Linked DNA regions of Rattus norvegicus. The protein of the gene in region 3 interacts with the protein of the main gene of each other region in a pairwise test. Links are inferred from orthologs where the notes say so. Each region holds a gene or a part of one and is shown on either strand. Other genes may lie near its edges.

What was found.
Region 1: the proteins of Trip6 (region 3) and Oip5 interact in binary tests that used the Homo sapiens proteins (3 or more experiments, as listed by UniProt). The two-hybrid records come from large-scale screens. The link is inferred for Rattus norvegicus from reciprocal best matches to the Homo sapiens genes TRIP6 and OIP5.
Region 2: the proteins of Trip6 (region 3) and Hoxa9 interact in binary tests that used the Homo sapiens proteins (3 or more experiments, as listed by UniProt). The two-hybrid records come from large-scale screens. The link is inferred for Rattus norvegicus from reciprocal best matches to the Homo sapiens genes TRIP6 and HOXA9.

What each region holds. Positions count from the first base shown.
Region 1 is NC_086021.1:127,048,731-127,055,800, forward strand, and holds part of Oip5 (protein Mis18-beta), read right to left. Parts: intron 5,272-7,070; coding exon 5,149-5,271; intron 3,112-5,148; coding exon 3,030-3,111; intron 2,750-3,029; coding exon 2,638-2,749; exon of another isoform or gene 2,637-2,637; intron 776-2,636; coding exon 744-775; 3' UTR 1-743. UniProt on the Homo sapiens protein: Required for recruitment of CENPA to centromeres and normal chromosome segregation during mitosis.
Region 2 is NC_086022.1:82,653,171-82,660,348, forward strand, and holds Hoxa9 (homeobox protein Hox-A9), read right to left. Parts: upstream 3,879-7,178; 5' UTR 3,803-3,878; coding exon 3,226-3,802; intron 2,075-3,225; coding exon 1,836-2,074; 3' UTR 677-1,835; downstream 1-676. UniProt on the Homo sapiens protein: Sequence-specific transcription factor which is part of a developmental regulatory system that provides cells with specific positional identities on the anterior-posterior axis.
Region 3 is NC_086030.1:25,020,399-25,027,576, reverse strand, and holds Trip6 (thyroid receptor-interacting protein 6), read right to left. Parts: upstream 4,619-7,178; 5' UTR 4,470-4,618; coding exon 4,361-4,469; intron 4,113-4,360; coding exon 3,985-4,112; intron 3,891-3,984; coding exon 3,765-3,890; intron 3,513-3,764; coding exon 3,129-3,512; intron 2,531-3,128; coding exon 2,437-2,530; intron 2,341-2,436; coding exon 2,171-2,340; intron 1,150-2,170; coding exon 971-1,149; intron 721-970; coding exon 600-720; intron 479-599; coding exon 347-478; 3' UTR 211-346; downstream 1-210. Other genes in the region: Slc12a9 (solute carrier family 12 member 9), read right to left, coding at 5,343-6,229. UniProt on the Homo sapiens protein: Relays signals from the cell surface to the nucleus to weaken adherens junction and promote actin cytoskeleton reorganization and cell invasiveness. Involved in lysophosphatidic acid-induced cell adhesion and migration.

The DNA.
Region 1 (7,070 bases), on a different chromosome or scaffold from region 3:
AGTGTGGTGCACATCTTTAATCTCAAAATCTAGGAGGCAAAGACAGGTAGATCTCTGTGCAAGGCCAGCCTGGTCCACATAACCTTTCAAAGTGGGGATTACAAATGAGACCCTACCTAAAAACAACAGCAAAAAGATACAAATTGTTTATTGTGCATGCATTCTATTTCTTAACTGTTACTTATTACATATATATTTGTTGTTTTGTTCCAGACAGGGTTTCTCTATGTAGGCCTAGCTGTCCTAGAACTCACTCTGTAGATCAGGCTGGCCTTGAATTGAAAGATCGCCTACTTCTGCCTCCAGAGTGTTGGGGTTAAAAGCATGCACCGCCACCATCCAATGTACATATCTATTTTACATAAACAAAAATGATGTCTTGGTGACATTCTTCTTTAATTCTAGCAGAGGAAGCAGAGGAATGTAGATCTGTATAACTTTAAGGCTACCCTGGTCTACATAGAAAGTTCCAGGACAGCCAAAGCTATAGAGAGAGACCTTGTTTCAAAACAAATAAACAAGTATTTATAAGTATTCATATAACTGGCACGTAGAAGTACCATCTCTATTAACTCCATTTCTTTATCCAGGCCATCTGTTCATTCTGTTCGTCAGTGGACACAAGGGACACTGCATGCTAATTAGTTATTAGTAGTGAAATACATTTTCAGAAATAAGCATTATGGAATCAACATAGTAAAATAAATTTAAAGTAATAGAGTCACGTGCTGCAGGATCTTTGATCATTCTATGAACCCCAAGATTGTGTTGTTTCCTGAAAAACAAAACAAAACAGTTTCTAGTTGTGGTATGGCCCAGCTCGCGCGCACGCACACCTTTGTTCCCAATGGCTGGAATAAAGCATACATACACACCCTTAATACACACCTTTAATCCCAAACCAAGGTAAAGTTAGAAGTATAGAAGGAAGCACCCATGTTTGAAAATAATATCTGGGGGGCTGGAGAGATGGCTCAGTGGTTAAGAGCACTGACTGCTCTTCCAGAGGTCCTGAGTTCAATTCCCAGCAACCACATGGTAGCTCACAACCATCTGTAATGGAATCTGATGCCCTCTTCTGGTGTGTCTGAAGACAGCTACAGTGTACTCATATACAAAATAAATAAATCTTTAAAAAAAAAAAGAAAATGATATCTGATTGAGTGGCCGACAAGGTGACGAATTGGAGAAAGACTTGACAGAATAGAATATACCCTACTCTAATGAGGAGAGAAAAAGGAAGCTACTTAAGGGGCAGTGCAGAGAGAAAAGAAGATGTAGTTTTACAGACAGGTTGAAGAAAGAACAAGCTAAACACAGTTAAAGACAGAGGGAGCCAGAAGATTAGAACATATTGCCATAACATAAGTTAGTATGAGGTCAAGCAGAGCAACTCAGAAGCTGAGAAGCCAGACTGAATCAGTCAGCATGGTGAGCCAGAAGAGCTGAGCTGACCAGCTGGAGCTCAGAAAGAACTAGAAAGGGTGAGCTTATTCAGCAGCAAGTCTCAGAGGCTGAGAACATTCTAGATCTAGGTAAGACTGTATACAGGCTGGAAGCTTCCCGAACTAGGCCTAGGTTAGCAGATGGACGCAGTAAGCCTTGGAGAAGACAGCTACATCAGGCAAATAAAAGTTATTACGGGGGCTGGAGAGATGGCTCAGTGGTTAAGAGCACTGACTGCTCTTCCAGAGGTTCTGAGTTCAAATCCCAGCAACCACATGGTGGCTCACAACCATCTGTAATGAGCTCTGATGCCCTCTTCTGGTGTGTCTGAAGACAGCTACAGTATACTTCTATATAATTACACAATAAATAAATAAATATTTAAAAAAGTTATTACGGTCACAGCTTATTATGAAAAGGAAAAACACTGACTCCCCAAAGCAGGAGTGGGCTGATGAGCTGGGGAAATAGGCTTGAAGGCATATTCTCAAACAATGTGATGAGTACAGATAGTGGGACATGTTCTTAGGAACTTTAGGGAGGCCTCACATCCATAACACAGCTAAGGATTGCCTTACTCTTGTGATCTTCCTTCCTGTATTTCAAGTGTTGGGATCACAGGCATCACCAGATCTGACAGCCCTCTGTTCTTAATATTTAATATTATTTAAAAAGTTAAAGACCAAGAGGGTATGGTGGCACATGCCTTTAATCCCAGTACTCTGGTGGGGCAGGAAGATCCTTGTGAGATCTAGGACAGCTAGAAATACATAGTGAGACCCTGTCTCAAAACCAAAATGCCCCCCATCCCGCCACCAAAGAAAAAAAAGAAAAGACCAATGGGAACTAGAGAGATGGATCATGGATAAGTGTTAAGAGAGCTTCCAGCTTTTGTAGAGGTTAGTTCCCAGCACTTAACAACTGCCTGTAATTCCAGCTCTACCGAATCTCATGCTCTCTTCTGGCCTCCATGAGCAACAGCCCACATGTTCCAACCATACACACACACACACACACACACACACACACACACACACACACACAGAGAGAGAGAGAGAGAGAGAGAGAGAGAGAGAGAGAGAGAGAGAGAGAGAAGGGGGGGCAGGGAGAGAGAGAGAAGAGACCTTAAGGAAAGAAGAAGGAAGAAATGACCAGAGCACTTCGGGTGTTGAAGGAAGTTCTGTACGCTACCTTGCTTGTTGCTTGTTCTATTTTCCTGGTCAGACTGAGGAGGAGTCTTTTCCTTCAGAACCCTCAGCAGTGAGTTTAAACGAGAATGCATCAGCATTATCTTCTCTTTCAGCTGAGGAGAGACACAGATTGAGGACATCTTATACTCAACCCTTGATTTGCTGCTTATAATGTTACCAGACTTAAAATAAAACAAATCTAAAAACAAAACAAAACCAAACACACTTAAAAATTGCCTGTATTAAGGGAATGGATATAGCTTAGTTCTAGGAGAGCCTGTTCTACATAGTTAATTGAGACAAGTGACAAATACATAGTAAAAATCCTGTCTCCAAAAGGGAAACCCAAAATGAAAATGCTGTGTACGTAAGTAACTATACAACCAGGTTTACCTCTGCAATCTTTTCTGGTAAAGGTACATTGTAAATATCCATCTCAGATGTATTTACTATGGCCTTTGTTTTTAACAGATAGCTAGAGAGAAAATATATAGAGAAAATATTAGTACCATTACCAATGGACCAAACTTGCCCTCTAAAATATCTGTTGAGTAAAACCTTCCTTATGGTTTGAAGCAGCATGGTGTATTTTACTGGAAAAAAAAATATCAATTAAAACCACAAACTCTGCTTGAACCTTTGCCATTCTCAGTAACAAAACTGTCTCAGGAAAAACTAAAGACAATCCAGAATCAGATGGATAACCATCATTGGTAAAAGTTTACAACTTTTACCCTGCAGTACGGTGCAGCCTTGACGCCATCACTTTGAAGGAATGGCAGGTGGGCCTCTGGGAATTGAAAGCTGGCCAGGACTAGATGGGGAGTTCCAGGTCAGCCAGGGATATTAGAGACCCTGTCTCAAAACAAAATAAAACACAAAATGAGAAGGAAAAAAAAATAAGAGGATGCTTTTTAATGCTTATTTTTCTTTTTAAATATAATTCTAAATAACAATAACTTAGGGGGAAAAAAAGAAGCCAGGCATTATGATTTATGTCTTTAATTCATCAGGGTTCTCTAGAGAAAAAGAATTTACAGAATCAATAATGTCTCTTTATATATACATTGTAATTTTATACCAGTCAGGCCAAAGAGCCAGACCTACTCAAAGCAAACAAGCAAAAAAACAACAAACAAACAAACAAACAAACAAAGACATGAAAAGGAAGTAGAAATTTACAGTATGTTTGTTATTTAAGTATAATGCCAGGACACTGTTGGAAGTTGCGTGAATAACAGGAAAGCCAAGTGGCCACTAATGGTCTCAGAGTTAAAGGAGACTTTCTTATAAATGTTGTTTTGGCTTACATAAATCACTACAAACATCTAAGTACATTAAAATATGTTAGTATTACATTATTGTTTGTTTGTTTTTCAAAACAGCATTTCCCTTTGTAGTCTTGGCAATCTGGAACTCACTCTGTGGACTGGGCTAGCTTTGAACTCAGAGAGCCACTTGCCCCTGCCTCCTGAGTGCTGAAATTAATGGCATGTGCCACCATGTCTGGCTAAGTAATCTTAACTTCTGAGCCATTTCTCCATTCTTTCAGTTTCTTGTAATAAAATATCTTAGATTAAATGTTTAATTAGTAAGGAAGATTATCTGTGAACACAGAAACTGTGTACTAGAAAAACCTGTTTCTGGTTGTGGTGTGGCTCAGCCTTAGCACACACCTTTAATCCGAGAGCTGTTTATTGTAAGCAAAGTCTGAGTAAAGTAACTGCAGATCAAGACGTGCAGCAAGCAACCATTGACAGGAAGCGAACATAGGAAAAACCCATAGAGTCAGAGCAGGGGTCAGCAGGACAGATAGAGAGAACAGGAGTGGTGGCTCACACTGTTAATCCTAGCACTCCAGACACAGTTTGAGACAGTGAGTTTGAGGCCAGCCTGGTCTAAAAGCAAGCCCAAGCAGCCAGGGCTATTACACAAAGAAACCCTATCTTGAAAAACAAAAAACCCAATAAAACAAGAAAAAAAATTGAGAGAAAGCAACCTAAGCACTGGCATTTGTCTTTCTGCTTCCTGCTGCTGATACAGCATGACCAGCATCTCCTCCATGGACTTCCCACTGTGATGGACTGTGCCTTCAAACTGAGCCACAAGAAGCCCTCCTTTCCTGAGCTTGCTTTTGTCAGGTATTTTGTCTTGTCATGAAACAAGTAACCAACACAGGCCTTATTTCAAACTCCTGGGGTAGAAAATCTGATTGGCTTCCTTGGGATGGAGATATATAAAATCTCCAAGTTGTCTATATTGACACTATTTTGCAAAAGCATACCTTCCAGAATTTTCCTTAATGAAAGAACATTCTTAAATTAATCCATATTAAGACACAGTACAATAAACCATCTAAAATAATATTTATTTAAAAATTATATTTTATCCCTATGCAAGTATATATTATAATAAATAGTGCCTGACCTTTTGTATCTTCTTTGGTTATAAACACCTGGACTTTCCTAGCATCTTTTAAAAACCTTATTTAATAAGTAATGTCTCTACTCACCACAGCATTTTATCACAAGAAAGGCAGAAATGGCCTCTCAAGGCAGCCAGAGCAGCACGGGTAGAATATAAATGGAAACCAACAGGAGTCCCACAGGAGTTACAGAATAAAAGGTTGTATGTGCTGGTGGGAAAGGAAAGAAGCAGAATATAAAATAATGAAAAGCTAAAAGAGAAATAAAAATAACTACCCTCATCAGGTATAGTGTTGGTATCTGTTACTCTAACACCCAGAAGCATAGGCAGGAGGAACTCAAGTTCATCGACCTGATGGACTTCATCAAGTTCACTGGCTCCCAAGGACAGCCTGGGCCATATAAGACTCTTGTTTGAAAGAAACAAAAACAAAGAACATAATTTTTGACCAAAAACAAACTAAAAACTTTTAAAACAAAACAATACAATCCTCAAAACTAATTTTGGTACTGTCTCTGACCACTTGTGTAATTCATGGCTCCCTACCTAATAAAGAAATTTACTACTGTCCTTAAGATGTTTTGGGTTTTTTACTCCCTTATAGTCAGTTAGCATCATATAGCTTGCTAGGCCACTGGATCATGAACACCAAAGGACTTAAGGCAGTTACTTCCAATATATATTGAAAATACAATTGTTTCTCCATTTCCTTATATAGAATAAGGTCGATTAGGTTTTAATTTGTATTCATTATAAAAGTCTGTCAGTCTGGAAGACAACAGGACATAATATCAGGCAGTGGAGTGGAATAAAGATTTTTCTTCACTGTCACTCATTCCTTAAGTGCTGGGATTAAAGGCACCACCATGCCTGGCCAAAACTTTAAGTACCAATAGACTGTAATCCAAAAAAACTTTTTGAAATAATTTATAATAAGTGTTGTGTCACATACAATACAATCTAACAATCAACTACTGAGTTCAAAGATAGTAAAGAATGTATCTCAAGACCTCAAGTTTACTAGTGAAAACGACCATTTACCTCAGTTAGGATACACACAAGCAGAACCACACAGTGGGGAAGTCAGGGCTGCACTAACAGCAGGGAAAGGTACCTACAACCAAGCTTGACAGTGTGATCCTGGGTCTGGACTCCTCAAAGGTGTCCTCTCACCCTCATTAGTGTACCTTGGCATGTGACTACACAATACACACACTAAATAAATAAAGGTAATAAAACTATTTTTAGATTATAATGTGGAACAGAAATCTCATTCTCTTCTTTTAACTTGTATGCATTTTTGAAGTATTTATTATAGATCAACTCTAGCACCTAATACAAGATAAGCAAACATAGTACTTCTAAGCTATAGCACATCTCCAAATGTATGATTAAGTTTTTGTTTGTTTTTCTCAGACAGGGTTCCTTTGTGAACCCTTGGCTGTCCTGGAACTAGCTCTGTAGACCAGGCTGCCCTTGAACTCACAGAGACCCTCTGCCTCCCTAGGGCTGTGTTAAAAGTCGTGTCCTACCACCACCAGGCTTATAATTACAGTTTTTAATCAGGCTTTTTAAAAAGATTTTGGGTGTAGGTTCTGATGCTTGTGATCCAACACTTGTTGGCAGAAGCAGAACTGTAAGGTCAAGGTAAGACCATTACTACCAATATCAAAAGTAAAAGAATTTGTGATGTAACTAGATCAAAAGTGTCACTTCAGGGCCAGTGAAATGACTCAGTGGGGAAAGGCACTTGCTACCAACCCTGAGACACGGAGCTTAATCCTTCCATCCAGCATGGTGAAGGCAAGACTGCTTCCGGTTACCTCCGGGCCTACATATGCATGCTCCCATCGCATACGCAAACATATTCACACAAAAAAAGTTTTCAATGTAGGAGGATCACAAGCTTTAGGCCAGCTTAGGTGACATAGTGAGTTCCTGGCTAGTGAGGTTATTGAGTGAGAGAGCCTATCTCAACCCCTACCCCTAAATGCTTCTGAAATACTG
Region 2 (7,178 bases), on a different chromosome or scaffold from region 3:
CTTCGGGGCTTGTCGGTTGCTAAGGCCTGCTTCTGTGGGAGACTTAAGCTCCGGAGGTGGCTTTGCAGTGTAGGATGCTGATCCCTACCCCCAACCCGTCCCCAGCAAGGTTGGCAGGACGGAGTGAGGCACAAGGGTACAGATTTTCTACTCTCTGAAAACCCCTGAATATTTGAAGGAGTCACCTTATTGCCCACGTGTGGCTCCCGCTTGTCTCCTCAGAGCCTTCTTAGCAGGGAACGAGCCCTCAGCTCCTTGTCTTGCAGCCCTCAACTCTACCACCCTACTTCCAAAGGCTTCAGCTCTTTTTTTTTTTTTTTTGTGAGTCCAGGTTTGGTCAAATTTTTGAGGCACCAAAAATGAAAGAGTGGACGGGCTTTCCACCTTGCTGGCCAGTGAGGCCCAGCTCTTTTGTGCAGCACCCCAGATACTTCTCTGATGTCTAATAGACCCGAGTCTATTTGCTACAACACCTCCACCGTTGATCTTCCCCGCTTTCCGCTGCTCCTGCTTCCTACCGAGCGTCTCCGGGCTGAATCCGGAGTGCTTAGGCCTGGCCCGTCTATGGCTGGTTCCAGTTAGAGACAGAATTACGGCTTTCCTCCCGCCTCACCTCAGCCCTCCCCGGAAAACATATCCAGAAAAAAGATGGTACAAAAAGCAGACCCGCACAACGTAAAAGAATCAATATATTTTATTTGGCAAAAGTTAAATATCTTGACACAACAATTTGGTCAGTAGGCCTTGAGGTAACTATTGCAAAATATACAGTGTATGTTCAGTCCGATGGAAACCCCAAATTCACCAAGGATACAAATCTACAGTAGCCCAATAGCGTTTTCATGGTGTATAATTTATTATCAATAAAATTAACTCCATTACAGTAAGCACTCACTTTCCCCTAATTAAAATTAAGCATAAACCATAGGTAGTAACCCTCTGCACATGTGTATAGCTCCGAATTTCCTCACTTCTCCTCTGGTGCAAAAACAATCTTCAAGCTTTCTGATCATGGATATTTCTTTAATGTGGAGATCCTATATACATTGGACAAAACTGGAATCTAGAACGTGTAAAGATGGAAAAAAAAACCCACATTTCAAAAGCAGATAAATCAGGAATCTATGCATCCTGGAGAACTACCTCCCTTTTCTTTCCAAGTTTGATTTCACTGGGAAATCCTTACAGCTAGTTTACAGTTGTAGGTTAACAGTCTAGTTACACAGAAGACGTATCCCACTACAGAGCTATACTCTATGCGACAGCTTCTCTTCCCCCATAAACAACCTGAGTTCAAATTGAATTCTAGCATCCACAATCACAATGGGCACTTCACCCAGCACAGAAGTTTGAGTCACAAAACATAATTACCACAATAAAACACAGTGTTCAAGTATTTTGGCAGAATGCTCTGCCACACGAAGAGCAAATTAAATTAGCTACAGAGACTAAAAACTATACAGCCAGTCATCAACAGTTGTGCATTATATAAAAAGGTAGTTTTCTTTCCTTTTGCTTAAAGTCGGAAGCAGGTAGATTTTTTTTAAATATATATATATACAAGCTAGCACATACAGACAACAGCGCTAATGCCCTCCCTTGTGTGTGTGCCTTCTAGAAAACGGAAAGCTTACAATACCTCCTCCATTAAAGCCGAAGGCCTAGGACCCAGCCTGAGCAGGGACTGCCAGGGAGACATGAGGCCTGGGATTTAGAGCCCCTTTGTGCGGGTGGTGGAGGCTGGGTTTGGGAGAGGGGAGAGAAAGGGAGACAGACAGTCCTTTCTTTTTCTTTCTAGCTTGCTCTCTTTTTTTTTAAACGAGCCCCCCAAAGGCTCACTCGTCTTTTGCTCGGTCCTTGTTGATCTTCTTCATTTTCATCCTGCGGTTCTGGAACCAGATCTTGACCTGCCTTTCGGTGAGGTTGAGTAGCCGGGCCACTTCGTACCTGCGGTCCCGTGTGAGGTACATGTTGAACAGAAATTCTTTCTCCAGTTCCAGCGTCTGGTGTTTTGTGTAGGGACACCGCTTCTTCCGAGTGGAGCGAGCATGTAGCCAGTTGGCGGCCGGGTTATCTGTGGAGGGAGAGAGACACGGGGTTTAGAAGGAGAAGGGTCCCGGGTGGGTCTGAAGGAGCCTCTTGGGGGTCTCTGGTCGAAGTGCAGGATGCGGCTGAATTGGTTAGAGAAAACACAATGAAGCCCTAGCAGACAGACCCACGGAGGGTCACAACAGCGCCGGGAAAGTCTCAGTTCCCCCTACCATCCCCACCCTCCTTTCGCCTCTCCTGTCTCCTCCTCTTCTTCTTTCCACAGTCTGCATATTGTGAAAGGGTGAAATTTGGAAACCATTTTTTCTTTCTTTTTCTTTTTCTTTTTCTTCCTTCCTTCCTTCCTTCCTTTCTTTCTTTCTTTCTTTCTTTCTTTCTTTCTTTCTTTCTTTCTTTCTTTCTTTCTTTCTTTCTTTCTTTTGCCAGTAAAGAGCAAGCTATCCTGAGTTCTTGTGGCAAGATTAATCTCTCTCTCTCTCTCTCTCTCTCTCTCTCTCTCTCTCTCTCTCTCTCTCTCTCCCCTCCCCCCCTTTCCCCAGCTTCCTCGCAACTGCCCCCACTCTTTATTTGACCTTCCCGGAAGGCCGTGGGAACTACGCGGGAGGCAGGATGCCCCAGGGCCTTTGATCAGGGCTCCACTTTATTTGAATAAATCTGGCAAAGGGACCCTCGTGGTTCCAAAGCCCGTAGCCTCATCTTGGGCAGGATTTCCGCCGCCACCGGCCGAAAGCAAGAAATGGAGGGAATCGGAGGTCTCCCCAAGCGTCCCGGGTCAGATTGCCCGGCTGACGTCGCTGCCACAGTTCGTGCACAATCTAGCCGCACAAAAGACTTCTCTGCGCTGCTTTCGAAGAACCGCCCAAAGTCTGTCTGTCCTAGGCCTGGGCAGCTTAGGAGAGGGGCGGCGGGTCTCGGCTCCACTCGCTCGCCCGCCCCGCCCCCTCGTACTGCAGTATCCTCCTCCCTTTCCCCTAGCTGGCCCGGCCTGATCCACACGGTTCTCTGGACTTGGGGCCCCTATCAGAGGTGTTCCAAACACCAACTTCTGGTTCTCGGGCCCTAGATTCAGAGGCACCCATCGAGAACGAAGGCAGGCTCGAGAGAAAGCTGATGCGCTGGTAGATCCTGGTGGCCTGCGTGGAGGCAGCGGCCGATTTGCAGGAAGGAGACACTTACTGGGATCGATGGGGGGCTTGTCTCCACCGCTCTCATTCTCGGCATTGTTTTCGGAGAAGGCGCCTTCGCTGGGTTGTTTTTCTCTATCAACTGGAGGAGAACCACAAGCATAGTCAGTCAGGGACAAAGTGTGAGTGTCAAGCGTGGGACAGTCACCCCTTCTGGCCGACAGCGGTTCAGGTTTAATGCCATAAGGCCGGCTGGAGGGTAAGCCCGCGAAGGAGAGCGCACCCGGCGTGGGCTCCAGCCAGGAGCGCATGTACCTGCCGTCCGGCGCCGCCGCCGCCACGGGCGCCTGGGGGTGCACGTAGGGGTGGTGGTGGTGGTGATACACCGCAGCAGGCACCGCATTGGCGCCTGCCGCGTGCACTGGGTTCCACGAGGCACCGAACACCGCCGCCTTGGACTGGAAGCTGCAAGGGCTGAAGTCGGGGTGTTCGGCCAGCGCTGCCGCCTGCCTTTGGGGTTGGCCCAGGGCCCCTGGAGCGTAGCGTCCCGCACCCAGCTCGTCCGCAGCGTCAGCGCCTAGCAGGAAGGAGTCCACATAGTAGTTGCCCAGGGCCCCGGTGGTAGCCATCGCAGTAGCCCGCGCCTGGCCGGCCCAGCCCGACCCGCCGAAATTATGAAACTGCAGATTTCATGTAACAACTTGGTGGCACCAGGGGGGGTGAAGTACAGTCACCTAATAAGTTGCCGGCGCCCGCGCCCCCATTGGCCACGCGCGTCACGTGTCCGCCCAGCAGAACAATAACGCGTAAATCACTCCGCACGCTATTAATGGCCCGGTGTTTTGCAGTCATAATTTTTATAGCAAAAGCCATATGTTTTTATGCAAAGGGATCGCGCAGCTCCACGATCTGGTTTGTTTTAATTGTGGCCAACGAAGATTAAAAGATCAAATCTGGCCTTGCCTCGGTACTCTTCCTTGCCACCCCCTCTACACACACACACACACACAAACACACACACACACACACATACCAGACACACACACTTCTTAAGCGGACTATTTTATATCACAATTAATCACGCCATCAGGAAGGCGCGGGTCCCGCGTGCGAGCACGGCCAGCAGAGCCCCTCACATAAAATTAGACAATAATTGAAGCCATAAAAAAGCAGCCAAATCGCATTCTCACTCCACTGTATTTAAATCTATATTTATGATATTTCATAAGGAGTTATTGTTTCGGAAGCCACACAGGCTGGTGGAAAGTCAGGAACGACCAACAGATTCGTTTGCCTCGCTGCGGCTCCCTGTAAAAATTTATGGGGACTTGGAAAGGTTAAATTAGACTGTTGTGTTTGGTTGGTGAGCGCCCTGTAAATAATTCTTGCAGTCCTCAGAGATGTGAGCCCCCTCCCGCACCCCCTCCAGGCCCCGGCCCCAGGCCGGCCTCGAAAAGTCAAATACAAGGCTCTCTCCACCTCAAACAGTGTGACCACCGCCCTTGTCGCGATGCACCATCGATGATACCACCAACCTAAAATGCGCTACTGACCCTAGTTAGATTGGAAAGCCAGCCAGGCGCTTGCACAGCACCCAGATCACCCTTGCTCCACAAGGGAAGGCTCCACAGAGGAACTGCCAAGGAGAGGACTGCCAGCTACCCTCTAAGGTTTGTGTCACAAACGCCCTGCTGTGTCACAAGCGCCACGGCCCACATCTTTGAGCACAAAATGCTCCACGAATTTTCTTCCCTATCCAGCCGGTTCTAAGCTCCATCATCCATATGCCTAGTCACTATCAGTACCAGAGGAGTTCGTCTTGCTGAGGGCTCGCCTCTCCTAAAAGAGGAGCACGGGCACTTAAAATGGCCATCTCTGGGCCCTGTATGAACCTCCCTGGGATCCTTCCCTCCTCTGTTCTTTCTTCTCATTCCTCTCCCACCCCACTTCTCTCCCTTCCTTCCTTTTGCTTCCCTTCCATTCCCTTTTCCCTTCTTTCCGTCCTTCCCTCTCCCTTTTCTTTTTCTTTTCCCCTCTCTATCTCCAGCAACCCTGCCTTGGTTATCCATGAAACAGAACAACAGAGATCCAAGAGCCAACACTAGAGGACTGCAGCTCAAGTCCAGTGCTACAGAGGAACCCAGGAGGAGCACTGGACATTGACTTTAATCTCATCCTTTGGACAAATGGAGGATGTTGTTTTTCACCCTTAGAATTTTGGGGGATGAGGAAAAAAGTGAAAAGGCCACAGTCACTGTTGCTAATGGGAGGGATGGTGGCCCCATCCCAATCTGGAACACAAAGCATCAAACTCCTAGGAGCTGTGTAATTAAATTCACGTGTGGATTCTGTGCCCTCCAAGAGTATGTTTCTCATTACTTCACTTCGCTATCCACAAAACTGCTGGCTGGAGACATTTCCACCTTTGTTTTTACTTTCTTTCTCAGAAATAGTTCAAGTAAACACTTTCCAACACTGGCGGATTCCTGTCTCAGGAGACAAAGATCCCCCCAAAATATTAGGCTCTACACCAAAGAGGGGCTGTGAAGCTCTCTGGGAATACAGACTCCCTCCTTTGCTCGTAGGCAGGAAGGAGAAGAAAGTGGCCAACACCAGCAACTGGATGTGGCCTGTCCTGACTGCCTCAGTCCCCTCCCCCTAATATTTTCCTTTCCCTACAAATTCCTCCAAGTCACACACACCCCAACACAGCCCAAGGTGTTCTAAATATCCGGCAGTCCTCTGAGGTTCAGGTTTTCATTAAAGCACTAATCCTGGAGCATAACTCTGCTCTTAGTTGTAAATAGTAGAGTACTCCTGGCTGGCTTTTTCACTTTTTGCATTCAGAGAAGATGTGTCACCACCACCACCACCACCATCATCATCATCGTCATCATCTTCTTCATCATATCCTTATTATTATTAATTAAAATACATTTTAAAAAACCCTGTAGTCTCCAACTAGAAAAATCACAAAGGAGCACGCATCGAGTATTAAGCAGCTGTTTATGTGTGGCCAGAAGGGGAAAAAAAATCCTAAAAGCAGATACTGTCCTTGTAAGTCTAGAAACTTGATCCTAAAGCGTACATGTTTTTATTTCTGCTTTCTTTTGGATGAGAAAGGAGTTGTATACACATCTAGAAATAATAAATGGATGAATCACACACCACCTCATTCTCAACCGAGAATCCTCCTAAAACTGTGGGCTTTGAAATAAATCCAATACCTGGATCCAGAAACCAGCAGAGAAGAATTGGGGGGAACCGGGTGGACTGGTCATTCAGATAACAGGTTGTTGACTGAGTAATGAAAACAATTCCCATGCATCAGCATGAGCCGGGAAGGGAAACAGAGTTCTGCGGTCTCGGTAGTGCCTATGTCGTTGGTGGGAAAGAGTGGTTTGTTTTCAGTCTTCTGTATTAAGAGTGGTTAGGCTGGTTTTCTTAGATTAGAATTTAGTCCAGTACCCCAGTTTGTGCCCTCCCTATTCTTGAATTGGAGGTTGTTTTCACTCACTTAAAATATATTGGAGCTGGGAAGGTCTCCTTTCTCAAACACTCAGCTGCACAAGGCCGGACATGTCTAACATTTTCTCAGTCTGATCCTGCTAGTAGCAAGCCAGCAAGTAATCAAGCCTTGGCCCCGGTGAGGCTCTTTCATCACGGTCAAAGGCCGAATTAGGGCCTGTAAAACTGGCGGAGCTGGTCAAAGCTTCCTGCTAGAGCTTTCCCAGTGGTCAGCTCCACAGAACTTAGGCAGGAATTCAGCCCGATTCCAGCTTCTGAACCAATGGAGCTGGCAAAGGGTTTCCTGCCCACGGTGTGGGCACACAAAGACGCCGCGGGTGCCCCCTCACCGGATATCTCAGGCAGCCGCTAAGGCAAGGCCGCCGCCATCCGGTCGTGATCGTAACCGAGGCCTTGTCTGCACAGAGGCCCACCAGGCCAAAAAACACGGACCTGAACAGCATCCCTTATGGACTCCTTAGAACATTCAAAACTGCA
Region 3 (7,178 bases):
TTTAATTTACGTAACAACAAAAAAGTACAGGATGAGAGTTAACAAAATATATGCAGGGTCTTGTTACGTAGCCCTGGCTGTTCTGGAACTTAGTATGTAGACCAGGCTAGCCCCAAACTCACAGAGTCTGTCCCTGCCTCTTGAGTGCTGGGGTTCGAGGTTTACCCAGCCTCATCCTATGAGACTCTAATGAAAGAACAGACTTGCAAGAGCTTTTAAACACTCCACTGATTATTATTGCATGAAGGGAGGAAGAAGAGACAGCATTTGGTGCAAACACTAAGGGTAGATGTCAGGGGAGGTAACAGAGGGGGACTGAGATCCCAGCAGGTCCTTCTTAGAGCAGTCAACAGTCGGTGGTGACGGTGGCTGAGAGCTCTTGAATGCGCCAGGCACTACAAGCCTTGCACAAGATATGCCCATCCAGCGGGTAGCAGCCTTGACACTCTCCCTCAGAGGACAGCAGCAGCCCACACTCCTGTGAGGAGAAACAAAACCTCTATTAGTCTGAGAGCTCTTCTGTGACTTTTCCCACCGTGCTTTTCTCCCAGCCTCCCAGGCTCTGCAAAGCTCTTGCTCTTGCCCGGTGACCTCTTCACCTCACACTTGTAGCAGCCAATGTGGAAACTTCTATCCAGAGCAACAATTCTCACTGTCTCCTCCTGACCTGGCTCTGGCATGATGGCCCCACCACACACTGAGCACCGTGGGGCAAATTTCCTGCAGGGGAGGGGAACCAAAGAGGCTGTCAGATCCCTCCCTCCCAACCCCTCAAGAGGCTCATAATGGAGCCCAATAAGAGTGGAAGGGGCTGGGGGGTAGGAGGGTGTGTGAGAGAAGGATCTAAGAGATGTGTTTCGGTCTTGGGGAAGAAAGTAATGTCAAAAAAAAAAAAGAGAATGAAAAGATAGAAAAAGAAGAGGCAGACCCTGGGACATGAAGAGATAGGTCAGAGCAGGCATTCTGAGACCTGTGGAAATCTTCAATGCAGTGGATCTGGCTGGTGGCATCCACTGTGAAAGGGATGCCATCGAGGCCACGGTGGCACACCACACAGGTGAAGCAACCAGGATGGTAAGCCTTCCCCATAGCCCTCAGGATTCGGTCCAGGATGGGTTCAGAGCATGTGGAACATTTCTCCAGTGTGGCCTAATAGGAAAGAGGAAGGAAGGTCAGGGGGAAAAGCCACTCCAGCCAGGAAGGCGTACTCTCTGCCCAACCACGTGGTGTGTGTAGTTCCCCGCAGAGCATTCAGTGGAAGGTGGACTTAGCATTTCTGAGGTTTCATACGGGCACTGAAGCCTCTAGACAAGGAATCTGGTCTCCGCACACTTCCTCTTTCAGTGAGATGAGTCAGTAGTGCTTGCCTCTGAGGAATGCTGTGAGGCTTTTACAAATTACCTCAACTCTAAAATGCCTTCTAGCTGGGCACACATCTGGTTTCTCAGCTCTCGGAAGCCGAGGCAGGAAGACTGTAACTTCAGGACCAGCCTAGGCTACGTAGTGAGACTCGGTCTCAAAGGAAGGAAAGAAGGAAGGAGGGAGAAAGGGAAGGAGAGGTGGAGGAAAAGAGGGGAGGAAGGAGGGAAAGAGGGAAGGAGGGAAGGAGGGAAGGAAGGAAGGTGGCCACCCACTTAGACAGCACGAGCTGTTCCTCCTCTCCTTCAGCTCGTGTCCACATTTAACTCATTCCTTAATCTGGGGTTGTAGCTCAGTTGGTAAAGTGTTTGTCCGGCATGCAAGAGCCCTGGGTTCCATTCCTAACACCACAAAGAACAGATCTGGTGGCCCACACCTGGAATCCCCATACCCAAGGTCTTCCTTAGCTATAAATACCTAAGAGTTTCAGGCCAGCCTGGGACACACGACGTATTATCTCAAAACGACAAACAGGCAATCCAAGAAACAAAACGCAAAGTGTTCTTTTGGTTGATGGATCAATCGATCTTCGGAAACCTGTGCCTTGGGCTGGCTTCCAACCCGCTTCCGTAGCCCATGTTCTCCTCCAGACAGGCCTGAGCCACCATACTTAGTTCATTGTACCTCAGCTTGAATCTCCAGCTTCCAGGCCCACCCAGCTGAGTACCTGGCCCTCTCTTGGATAGAAACCTGCCTGTCAAATCTTGACACTCCCAATTTGGCAACACCCTCTCACAGCCCAACCGCTCACCACATAGCAGCTCTCACAATACGCCCGCCTCTCCACGGCATAGAAGTGCTGGCCTCGGAGCTGGGCCCGACAGGTAGAACACACGAAGCAACCAGTATGGAAGACACGGTCCAGGGCCACAACCCCAGCTCCATCACCAACCACATCGTCGCCACAGCCACCACACCGACCTGGGGACAGAGGGGAACAAGATCAGTCTCCACAGACCCAGGACACCGGATCCACTGTCCCCTCCCCGTCCCATCCTACCCAGCGGGTCAGCTCACCAAAGTACTCCCCACTGGGCGGGTGGTTCATGTCATGCACCAACTTCTTGGTCAGTCTCTCCAGCTCCTCCTCTGGAGGCTGGCTCAAGGGGCCCTACAGGGAGAAACAGGGCTTTGCAGTGCTGCTTCGACCTCACACACCGTAAGTAACCCACAAGCTCAGGAACCCTGAAATTTCCTCTGAGAATATCTCCCAGGCTGACAAGGGAAGGAAGCCCCTTCCCTTTGGACATCGTAATCCTTGACCTCTAAGTACCCTAAAACCACAACTGACTTATATTTATTTTTAAGAGCGTGTCTCATATGGCCTAGGCTGGCCTTGGACTCATTATGTAGCCAAATATCTTAATTTACTGATCCTCCTGCCTCTACCTCCCCCATGCTTTGTTTATACAGTGCTGGGTCTAGAACCTTGGGATTCCTACATAATAAAAAAGGACTCTACCGGGGTTGGGGATTTAGCTCAGTGGTAGAGCGCTTGCCTAGCAAACGCAAGGCCCTGGGTTTGGTCCCCAGCTCCGAAAAAAAGAAAAAAAAAAAAAAAAAAAAAAAAAAGGACTCTACCAACTCTCTACCAACTGAACTGCGTCTCCTAAAAACGGTATCTTAATCCCTCAGCCTCCACACCACCTAACCAACGGCCAGTTACCTACAATGACCAGGTACCACCGTGCCCACACCCCCTGGCTTACCTGAGGCTCATGCCCACCTCTTCTTCCTCCTCCTGCAGGGTTATGAACTCCAGCAGCTCCCTCCTTAACCCCTGGTCCTGGCTCTCGGTGGCTCCTATAGCCAGCTCCCCAGACTTCACCACGACCTGTCAGAGGAAAGTGGGGGCCTGGAAGAGGTCCAGAGGCCTGCGAAGCCCCCCGCCTGGGCAGTCCACAGCCTCTCACGGGTTGAGCCACCTTCACTTGAACAGGGAAAGCAGGACCAGCTGGAGTGCTCGCGGTAGCATAAGAGGCTGGAGTAGGTCCACCATAGGGAGATGCTGGGAGCATCGGGGCTGGAACAGCACCTCCGCTGGGTTTCAGGGAGCCTCCACGGTAAGCATGGGGTGGAGGAGCCTCAAAAGCCTGGGAAGACAAACAATGCACAAACAGTAAGGCCAGATCCAAGATCCATGCGCGCCAGGTGGAATCTCGGGAGCCATGACTTTTGTCAAGTTCCCATGGGTTAGGCCTAACAAGAAGGAAGTTCATGATTCCTTGAACCAGTTATTTATTAGTTGCAAAGAGGGTGGGCGGAGAGTGAAGAGGGCGGACTGAGGCTGAGAATCTACAAAAGAGAATCGGCTGACACAGGAGAGACAGAACACAGGAGATCACCTGTCTGTCTGGTCGCCTAGGTGCATGACTGCGACTCCCGTCCAGATCAGCCAGCATGCTGGTGAGCGAATCTATCTCAGCGTCCAGACTTCCAGGGTGGATGACTCCCCGGTCTGGAGGGAGCCCCTGAGACAGAGCCAAAACAGGAAGAACAAATACCGATCACAACCCCTACCTAGCCTTCTCTCACCTTGATCCTACCCTCACCTCCAATTCTCACCTGCAGGCGCTGGGCTGCTCCATGGGATCCCACCCAAGTAGGCCCCCGATCTTCCGGTACCCCCGGAGGCTGATAACATTGTTCAGGTGGGAGGGGGCAAAAGTTGACCCTGGGGTGAGGCTGGAGCGCTAAAGGGGGAGACGGGAGGTGAGAGCGGAGAAGGGTACCCTGGTTAAAGCCGCCTTTCTCAGGCAGCTCTCCTTCACGTACCTGGGAGTCTGGGGATGGACCAAGAGTTAGGGAAACTTGCACAAGAGCAAGGGACTCTGGCTTGGGGAAGGGACAGCAGGAAGCAGATAGGCAAGGAAGAAAAGGTTAAGGAAAGTGGCCAATGGCTCTTCTGCCACTCCCGGGTGTGGGAAAGGGGAACACTTACTTGCTCCATGGGCCGTTGGCGGACCCAGGGTTCCTCTGGGCAGCGCTCTCCCCTGAGGGACTCTGGAGGGCTCTGGCTGCTTCGGGGGAAGCCAGGTGGGCCCGGACATGGTCTGGAATAGGGTTGCTCCACTCCAGACAGAGGTCAGGACCCCCACAAGCCCAGCGGCCGGGCCCTTGAGCCCCTTCCCTCCCTTTCGGCCCCACGCCCCGTTTGGGACTCCAGCAAAGAAACTTTTTCTGGCTTTTTTTTTCTTCCCTTCCTCCCCAATTTTGGAGAGGACCACGCCCCCTGACGTCACCACATTCCTGGTGAGGGTCACGTGGTCCCCCAAGCCTTATTCTACGATTCTTCCTTTCTCTGGCCCCCTCCTGTTAAGTGAGGACCGCCCTCCTCCGGAGCCAAGCCTAGGGTGGGCTGCAGGCCTCTCCGAGAGGCTCTGGTCCAGCAATTCTCTCAGATCCCTGCCCCAGTCCTGCACGTGGCAGCCTCTTGGCCGGGACTCTGAAAGTCTCCACCCCCTCATAGATCTCTCCCTTCCCACCCGGCTCCCTCTCATCTACCCACCAGCAGTGCTCCACCAGCCCATAGTGTTTTGGTCTTTTATTTATGGTCAGTAGTTAGAAAAATAAAACAAAACACAAACATCACCACCCAAGGAAGTCGGGGAGAGGGAGGTGGTGCGTCTGTGGCCAGGATGGGGACACTGAGGTAGCCTAGAGTCACAGAAGAGACCAGCCCCTCTGGTCAAGGCACCAGTGAAGGAAGCGTAGGCAGACCAGGAACAGGGCCGCAATGTCCTCCCCTACAATGGGGCAGCCACCTAGAATTAGTGTACTATGTCCATTCGCCACCCAAAGGAGACCAGGGTCCCCTTAAAACATCATCAAAAGGGCAGGGCCCATTGGGGGCGGGGGAGGGCGTCCCTTGTTGAGAATGGGCCTGGGCCCTCTCTATCTATCCAACACTGTATGCACAGGCATCAGAGATCAGTACAGGTAACCGGAGTGACACCATGAATAAGAAGGGTGGGACCCAGATCACGGCTTAGGGTCTCCAGCAGTGCCAGGTATCTAGGGTAGCGGGCAGGATCAGCAGGAGGTCGAGGAAGATACAGGAAGGTAAGGGCTGTGGTGGGTCCCTCCTCTCCATCCCTTCCTTCTGGTCCCCCAGGGCCTCCTCCTGTGCCTCGTCCCTGCTGGGCACGCACCAGGGCATTGGCACTGCAAGCTAGAGCCTCTGCCTCTTCGTCTCCTCGACCACCATTCACAAAGTCCCCTTCCTCCTCCTCAGGCTCCCCAGCCTCAGCCCCTTCACCCCACACCACCTCTTGCACCTCTGCCCGGATCCTGAGTTGACTCAACAGGGCCCGGAGCCTTCCCTCTGCTGCCCCAGGAGCCTCTCTGGGCCCCAAGCACAGAAAGATCCGGAGCCGGGCACTGTGCCAGGCAGGCACCATGCTTAAGATGGTAGCCATCTGCAACAGAAAAAGGCCACAGACGTCCACGTATCCAGGTCCACCCCGGGGCCTCAACAGATTCAAGGGCCATACGTCCACATGATGTAGCTGAGCGCTGCTACCGGACCCCCGGCTTAGCCGCTCCGGGGGCAAAGCCCCACAAGCTCGGGCGAGAACCACATTCTTGTTCATCTTGAGAGCATCTGCCACGGTGGCCACGTAGTCCTGGGGACTGAGAGCCCTGGGGCTCCCAGGAGCCCGAGGTGGAGGGAACAGCGTGCTCAGGGCTGGCGACCCGCCCTCTCTGGTGCCCTCTGCAGGCTCAGAGAAGGCTGGGTCTGTTAGAAAATGGTCCTGGGGTGGGGCGTCATCATAAAAACCGAGCACCAACGTGTTGGGCTTCATACCGCCTAGGGGCAGAGAAGGGAGGCAGGAAGGAACAGAAATCAGGCTGAGGACTGAGTTTACACCACATAAAACTCGCCCACTCACACTTAGGTCAGCCATGAGGTATGACATCCTCCTTGGCTGAGGCCCTTACAGCAAACAGTATACACACGTTTGCACAATGAATTGGCTTTGCTAAAACACTTTCACATGCATTTATTTGACTATCTCTTGGAATAATCTCTTCCACTTTAAATAGATAAAGTTCACTTCAGGATGTCTTCCCCCCTTTGCAGGGAGTGGTACTGGAGAGTAAACCTCAATCACTAACAGCTATATTCCAAGCCCCATCTTAAATTTCCTTTAGGTTTTTGTTTGTTTGTTTATTTGTTTCAGAGGAAGGGGGGTCTGTTTGTTGACTTGCTTGATTGATTTTATCATTCTAAGGCAGGGTTTCATGATACAGCCCTGACTGGGCCGCAACTCACTATGTAGACCCAGTGAAGCACAAACTCATAGAAATCCACTTGCCTCGGTCTCCTGAGCACTGGGATTAAATGCACACACGCACGCACCCACTCACTCACTCACTCACAGTTTTTGATTTTCTAGACAAGGTCCCAGGCATCCTGGGCTTTCTTTGAACTCTAAGTGTCAGAAGGTAACCTTGAACTTCTGATCTTCCTACATCCTCCTCCAAGTGCTGGGATTCTAGGTACTCATCACCGCTGCCCCATGAAGTTCGCCGAGTGTTGGGAGGGAGCTCAGGGCTCTACCAATGAGCTCCAGCCCCAGCTCTGGGTTCTCCTAGTGCTAAGGTTGGCTGGCATCAACCACAGGCCTTAGGCAACACATCTTTTTCATGTCAGGAGAGGCCGTTTCAACCAGGCACGATGGCTCTAGCCCGTAACCCCAGCAACCAAGAGGCTGAAGCAGGAGGATGGCTCTAAGTTTGATGCCAGTCCAGGCTAC